Rattus norvegicus: one gene and its partner. The protein of the gene in region 2 interacts with the protein of the main gene of each other region in a pairwise test. Links are inferred from orthologs where the notes say so. Each region holds a gene or a part of one and is shown on either strand. Other genes may lie near its edges.

What was found. The genes of interacting proteins can lie anywhere in the genome.
Region 1: the proteins of Agtrap (region 2) and Ap3m1 interact in binary tests that used the Homo sapiens proteins (3 or more experiments, as listed by UniProt). The two-hybrid records come from large-scale screens. The link is inferred for Rattus norvegicus from reciprocal best matches to the Homo sapiens genes AGTRAP and AP3M1.

What each region holds. Positions count from the first base shown.
Region 1 is NC_086033.1:3,294,966-3,299,045, forward strand, and holds the start of Ap3m1 (AP-3 complex subunit mu-1), read left to right. Parts: upstream 1-1,252; 5' UTR 1,253-1,279; exon of another isoform or gene 1,280-1,524; intron 1,525-4,080. UniProt on the Homo sapiens protein: Part of the AP-3 complex, an adaptor-related complex which is not clathrin-associated. The complex is associated with the Golgi region as well as more peripheral structures.
Region 2 is NC_086023.1:163,792,129-163,795,687, forward strand, and holds part of Agtrap (type-1 angiotensin II receptor-associated protein), read right to left. Parts: intron 3,392-3,559; coding exon 3,286-3,391; intron 2,787-3,285; coding exon 2,591-2,786; intron 1,495-2,590; coding exon 1,376-1,494; 3' UTR 1-1,375. UniProt on the Homo sapiens protein: Appears to be a negative regulator of type-1 angiotensin II receptor-mediated signaling by regulating receptor internalization as well as mechanism of receptor desensitization such as phosphorylation.

The DNA of each region.
Region 1 (4,080 bases), on a different chromosome or scaffold from region 2:
AAGTCATCAGACACTGAACGCGCCGGACTTTATACTTATTAGGAAGAAATTTCTTTTTAACAAACGGCTTTTTATAAGTGAAAGTCGCAACACCAATTACATGTGCGTCAGGTATTGGGAGAGCTCTCCATTCCTATCAAATATGCAAAGGGAAAAAAAAGAAAAACAAACAAGAACTTTTCTAACCAATTAGCCAAATGCTACCCTAGCAAAGCCTCTGAGGTGAATTGGGGGTCCCTGGGGCGAGGGGGTCTCCAAAGATAATTTCAGAGAGCTGACAGAAAAGGTCAAAACGCTCTGCAACGCCTACTGAAAAAATTCCAAGAATGTTATCTTTTACCAGGGTCCAGGAGGCGCCGGGCGCCTTCCCGCTAAATACCCTAGGAAAGGATGCAGCTCCAAATAGGTCCTTTAGGGTCGCGCTAGCGCGGCCCGCGAAGGCTCGCACGTGGCGCCAGAGGAAGACTCAGCCCCCGGACCAGGTGCTCTGATTGGTCAATGGCTGCCAGGGCCGAGTATGCACCTGAGCAGAGTCCAGAACCAGAGGGCACTGAGGGGAACAGCAGCCACGCGGGCAACTCCCCGAGCTGCAGGTCCTGCGGGTTGGCCCCACGAACGCAGTCACCATCCGGCTGCGCCAGCCCACGTGGGCCTTGGCTCGCTGCAAGTGCCTTCTCCCTCCTCCCCCACGCAGGGTTGCTCTCACCTCAGCGCTTCTGGCGCTTCCACCTTGAGCTTCTTGGGCTTCGGCTCGTCCGCAGCTGCCATCTTCGCACTCTCACCGCGGTTTGGCTCTGCCGCGCGTCCCGCCCCTCAGCCCGGTGGCCCCGCCCCTCTGCTCGTCCCCGCCCCCTTTCCACTAAGCCCCGCCTCCCTGAACTCCGCCCAATCCGTGACTCTGGTCTGTCACCATTGGCTCTACGCGCGTCTGAAGTCCCGTCCCTCCAGGACCTCATTTACTACGGTAAGGGACCCAAAACGCAGTTAGGCTGCGGGTGAGCGCCTGCGCTCAGGGAGTGCCAATCTCCCTGTTCCTCCAGACCCTGAGTAATGTGGAAGATTCAGAGCCTCAACCTCCGGAGACACCGTGCCTCTCGCTGAACGCCTTTCCGCTCGTTGTTTCTTTCTAGTCCCGCTGACCTCCTCGGCGCCTCGGAGGCTGCTAGTCAGGCAGTGTGTTGGGCACTCCAAGCGCGGGGTCCTCGCGGCTTTCTCTGCTGCTTCAGCTTCGGTTCAGAGAGGACCCGGCACCGAATCACTGACTCGCCCAGGTGTCGGGGTGAGTGTGAGGGCGGGGAGTCTCCGGGTTGGAGACATCTCAAAAGCCGGGGAACAGACTGCATAGCTCCGGCTCGGGACTCTCTCTGGGGCTCCAGGAGTGTCCCTGCTGCTGTGCACCAGGGCCGCGCCTTCCCCCTCACACCCGGGCTTCCTAGTCAGCTGGGCCGGAAGGGAGCGGTGCACCTGCCACGTAGGGTTCTCGGACCCTGGACTCCAGGCGCGAGAAATGACATCTACAGTGAGGTGGGGTACCGACGACTTGAACTTGTCAGCCCCCAGGTTTGGCCGTGGAGGGCAAATCCCCCGATGACGCTAAGAGAACGCTTTCTTTATAGGGTGGTGCCTGGACGAGCTAGCCTGGGATGGGGAGACTGTGAGAAGGGTGTAGCAGCTTCTCACGAGACAGGTGACAGGGCTGTAAACGGAAAAGGCGGCTTGGAGTATGGAAGCGTGATGAGTGGATGAGTGGATGTCATGGATTTGTTTAGTACTGAAGCTTTAACTTCCTGGTTGAGAAGTCGGGTCACTCGAAAAGCTTTTTTTTTTTTTTTTCAGCATTTATTTGAGATTTTGGCTTGGAAATACATTACACAGAAGAAAGGAATTTTCTGCAAGCAAATATATAAATCTCCTTCCTTTGTATTGAAAAAAGAAAATGTGCCCCCTTTGTTTTTAGAGAGGACAGGACCTTTACCTTCCCACTGCTATTACCTTCTGTTTCTCAGTGCCTTCTGTCTTTTAAACTTTATTTTTGCATTTACTTGTTTGTTGTATTGTGTGGCATGCCACAAAACACATGTAGTAGAAGTTAGAGGACAACTCCTGGGCTACAATTCTCTCCTTCCACTATGAGGATCTTAGGGATCAAACTCAGGTCCTTAGGCTTGATAGCAGACACTTTTTTTTTTTTTTTTTTTTTTGATGAGCCATTTCAGCCTCCTTTTCCTACTTGCTGCTTCTAGCTAAGAACCATACTGCAATGTCGTTGCCAACATCCTACTGAGTTATCACCAAAATTACTTTAGCCAAGATCGCCGATGTCCATTTGACATCCAATACGACAACCATATATTCTTGGTATGGATTTCAAAAAAAAAAAAAAAACAAGTCTTGGAGCTGGAGAGATGGCTTGCCAGTTAAGAGCACTAGGTGCACTTTTGGAGGACCCAGGTTCAAGTCCCAGCCCTCACTCAGTGACTAACAACTGTCTGTAGTTCCAATGCCACGGGGATCCTACTTCCTCTTCTGGCTTTTCTGGGCACTGCGCACACAATGCACAGATAGACATGCAGATAGAGCACCCTTACAAATAAAATAAAAACTTTAAAAAAAAAAAAACCTACTTGCGAAGCAACAAAAGTTAAACCCTTCTTTAATGCCTAAGTCATAGATGTACTTTAAATAGGCATATGTTACTTTTTTTTTTTCTAATTTGTGTGACCTCGGGTGGGAGATGATGGGGTAGAGATGGCTTAGTAGCTAAGAGCACTTGCTGTCCTTACAGAGAACCCAAGTTCAGGTCCCATTACCCACATTGGGTGGCTCTTAACAGCCTATAACTCCAGGGAATGTGGTGTACTCTTCTGGCCTCTGCAGGTCCCTGCACGCACATGGCATATACTCACAGAAGTACATACAAAACTACATCCAGAAAGTATTGGGTTCTGACCTGCCTGAGGTGGGTGCTGGGAACTGAACTCTGTTCCTCTGCTGAAGCAGTGCATGGTTTTAATCCCACCCCCTGTATCTCCAGCTTCAGGAGATCCACCAGCCACTCCTGGCCTTCACGGGTCTGCACTTTAAACATTCACAAACCCACAGCAAATACACATAATACACATTTAAATTATAGGAAAAAAGACTTATCAAACAATCTGTAGGGAACAATATGACTGGCCGAGGGGGGAAAGACTGGAAATTTAAAAGATCACTGGTAGCCAGAAATCATGGCATATACCTTTAATCCCAGCACTTGAGTGGCAGAAGCAAGCAAACTCGTGAGTTGGAGGCCAGCCTGGTCGTCAGAATGATTTCCAGGACAGCCAAGGTTACACAGAGAAACTCTGTCTTGGAAAAAAAAAATAAAAGAAAGGAAAATTGTAAAACCTTTTTTGAGACTTATTTTTATTATTTTTTGTATTATTTGGGGTTTATTTGTATTATTGTATGTGTTTGTATGTGAGTGTGTATACATGACTGCCGTGCCTATGGAAACAAAGGGCAGTAGATCCCTGGAGCTAGAGTTATGATCTGCCTGATGTAGGTGCTATGATTGAATCTGGGTTGGTTGGGTTCGGGGAAGGGGGGAGTTGTCTGGGAGGGGGGGTGTTTTGTTTGGTGTTTTTGTTGTTGTTTGGTTTTTCAAAACAAGGTTTCTCTGTGTGACCACTCTGGCTGTCCTGGAATTTGCTTTGTAAACCAAGCTGGCCTGGAACTCACAGATATCCCCCTGCCTCTTCCCTTGAAGCTTCAACACCAAGCCCAGCAGAATCTGGGTCTTCTGTAGGAGCATGTTTAACATGCTCTTAACCAGTGAGCCATCTCCAATCTGGAAAAAAAAAACAAAAAATAAAACAGAACACTTGTGTTCATCTTTTTAAATCCTCACAGCTTGACTTCTTTGTAGCATTCTTGTAGAAAGATACTAAAAATCTCCCACGTCCTTCCCCATCTTAAAAACCCTGCTTCACTTCCATCTTAGGGTCTGTCTGTCTGTCTAGTTCCACTTCCTTGACGCATCTGCTCCGCAAATACTGGCTTTTCTTTCATAAATGTTTCTTGCTGTGTTCATAATCTCTT
Region 2 (3,559 bases):
TCTGTAGGCCAGGCTGGCCTTAACTCGGAGATTCACCTGCCTCTGCCTCCCAAGTGCTGGCATTAACCACCCACCAGGCACGTTTTTAATATTCTGGGTTTGTTTTTACATTTATCTGTTTGTGGTGTGTTTGTATGTGTGTGTAAAACCTCAAACCATGACAAAGAGTGTGGAGGTCAGAGGATAACTTTCGCAAGTCGGTTCCAAGGACCAAACACACATCGTGACGCTCAGTAGAAGACTCCTTTACCTGCGGCTGAGCCTCTAAGCCTCTGAGTCTCTGGGCCCCAGCTCTTGTTTACACTGTGCTGCACTCAGCCTAAACAAATCACAGCTACCGCTCCTCACTCTGCTCACACTGGGCTCAGTGTGGATGCCAACCAGGTCTGGGTTAGGTGCTGATTGCATGGGATTGTGTTTGACGCAGCAGATGGACGCAGTGACCCCACCAATGATGCTGTCACTCAGCCTCCCGGCCTGTCTCGTGTGCAGAGAGTGCTTTCAGGACTCTCACCTCAGCCTGCGGCTCCCCATAAGTCTTCAAGTATCTGTCCCCAGACGTCTGCCGGTGAGTAAGAGTGGGAGCGCTGGCACCTCAGGAGGCAGTCGACTGTGGTCAGAACGCAGAGGCTAGAGGAAGCCACCCATGCCCTGCCTCATGGTTCAGGATCAGAGGCAGTGAAATTAGTCACTTAGAATCAGAGGATAGATGTCTGTCTACATGCCACACCGACCAGCACTTCCTCTGCCACCCCATTTGGCTGATATAATGGGTGGCTGAAACTATGTTCCACCTGCAACTGAGTCTAGGGCGAAGTCACACCCAGACGGCAGGGTGGGTCCCAGCTCGGAGCACAAACATGGCTGGAACCTAGTGCAGGCCCAGAGGCCCTGCATTTTAATGTCAGGGCTCCTCTGCAGACAGACCTACTGCATCTGGGCCTGGGGTTCTCAGGCACTGTCATGAGGCACTGAGAGGCACAGGGACTTGGCTCCTGTGCAGAACAGGCTGAGCAGGACCACAAGCTCACAGAGCTTCCAGAAGGGCTGGGTCACCTTGGGGTAGCCTGAGAGGCAGTGATCATTGGCCCATAAGGCCTGGATGGCCCTGAACACTCTGCACAGCTCGGCGGTTGTGTGTTATAGTGATGGGGAGGAGGGGAAGAAACCAACCACAGTTCTAGCCCAGGGGTTAACAGGTGTCTTGAATGGAGGGGCAGCATGGAGAATTAGGACTGGGCTCTTCTCAGCTGGGACCTCCGAGGGCACATGACTCAGGCCACCTCTGTGGCAGGGAATGGAGGATACCCCATTGTAGGTCCAGTAAAGAAGGTGACAAGCATCCTGCTGGGCCCCAGGACGGCCAGGGACAGCTTCAGTACCCCCGGGGGGCAGCTTGGCCCTTGTTCTCCAGGCTTGCAAGGGGGTCTGCAGGTGAGTCTGACGAGTCAATTGTCTGGTAGGCACTATGTTCCTGAGAAGGTCCGAAGAAATCTAGAGGACAGGGAACAAGTGGATAGAGAAAATGAGACCATGGGGCCTTCTGCTAAGCACAGACAGATCCACCATCTGCCATGGCTAGTGTTTGGCATCATGATACCAAGGACAATGGGCAGTGGCAGAAGCCCAGACACCAGGCCTTTACCAAGCAGCGTCCACTCAAGCCTAGCATCGGTATGGGTGGCTCTGCAGATGAGAGAAATGCGAGGGTCAGAGAGACCGGCTGATTTAAGACCCTGTGGCATGAAGCAGATGACACTGGGGTCCAACCTAAACAGCAGCTCCTGTGGTCAATGGCTACTGTGTCACATCTGCCCCGGAAGCACACGCTCAGGTACCTGAGGAGGGGGTCAGTCCTGAGCCCACAGACTTTCTTCCTGCTGTCTGCCAGGCGCTAGGACCCATATAAATCACCATTTCTAGAAGCCACAGGGCCTGACACAGTTGCTGTACCCAGAAGGCTGGGGCTGAGAGTACAGAGCAGGACAGAAGGCACCTGTGTCTCTCACATTTCTCCCTCTGTATATTTGCCCTGAGACCATGGACAAGTCCCAGGAGCAGTGGACCTTCCTTCTCCTGTCTGATCCCTTCACACCCGGGCAGGTCTAGGTGAGCACAGAGATAAACCAGAATGGGCAGCCGTAGGCCACTCTGGCACTGGCTCAGCACTCTCTCATGGGATCCTCAGGTCACCTGGAGACCACACCCAGCTCCCACAGGAGAGCAGGGTCAGAGAGGGCAGGAAAATGGCTTGGCCCGCCACCAAAGAGGACAGCGTGGGCTGAGCCAGAGTCTAGAAGGCTGGTACACAGGGCTCCCTGGCCTGCCTGCTCAGAAAGGGTACGCCCCACATGGCAGGAGCGCACACCTCCAGAGGCAGGGCTGGGTGGAAACAGGAGGAAGGAGTTGTCCCCACAGCCATCTGCAGCCCCGCAGCAGAGGCTCCTTGCTGCCACAGCGAGCTGAGCAACTCCACGCCTCCACTTGTACTCTGGACTGAGGGAGGGCCACCAAGTCTGCCTGACAACAGGAAGAAGTCACACCAGACTGGTGGCTGGGCCGGGGGCAGGCGGGGTGGAGTGGGACTTACCCGAGCGGAGCGGGAGCTCACCCCCTCGCTCCCGGTGCATGTGGTAGACGAGGCAGCAGGAGAAGGGCTTCAGCAGCAAGCTGAAGATGGCCATGCCGGCACTGAAGCGGCCAGTGTCCCCAACGGCAACGCTTGAGTAGAAGATGCTAATGTAGATAATGTCCAGGAAGATGGTGGCAACCAAGCCACCAAGAAACTGCAAGGAACACCATCACAGGATCACGGACACTGACACCCAACCAGACCCCAAGTTTCCCTCACACACACCAGGCTGGTGACCGGCATCTTGTGACTGACACCTGCATGGTCTAGGAGCATGGACACAAGAGTCTGGCTCTAACCTGTTGCCCCATAATTCCCCACCCCCATCTCCTGCCATTGAGATCATGAGGGGCCTATCTCCAGAATTTCTGAGAGGGACACTTCCTTGGAGCCCATAACATCTGGTCTCGCTGCAAGAAAACAAGGGAAACAAACCCCTTTGTAATTCTCCTAAGGAGACACTGGGGTTCTGTGACCTCCCCCCATGTCTGTCTTGGGGGGACAACAGCAGAGGTGGGTCGCTGTGTAGCTGGCCTGGCTAGGCTTGCCGTGTGCAGGGCTTTAGAACAGAAAAAGATGGGGTGTGAGGAAGAGAGAAGACTGGGGCAGATGAGGGGCCCACGGATGGAGCCACCTCCCCACCGCCAACTCACCATGCCAATGGCATCAACAGAGTCCCGCTGGGCCACAGCCCACACACCCAGGGCCAGGATAGTGAAGTTGCCCCAAGCATAGGAGCCTGAGAACGCCAAGCAGCCCCTGCATAGAGAGACACTATCAGTCACCGCTTTGAGCTGCCCACCCCTCCCAGTTCCTTCCCCTGCTCCAGGGTCTTAGCCACAGGTCTTCTGTGTCACTCCTGCCCCCTGCAGGCAGTTCTTGAAATAGCAAGCAGTGTGTGAATCTGACCATGTGACTCCTCCACTC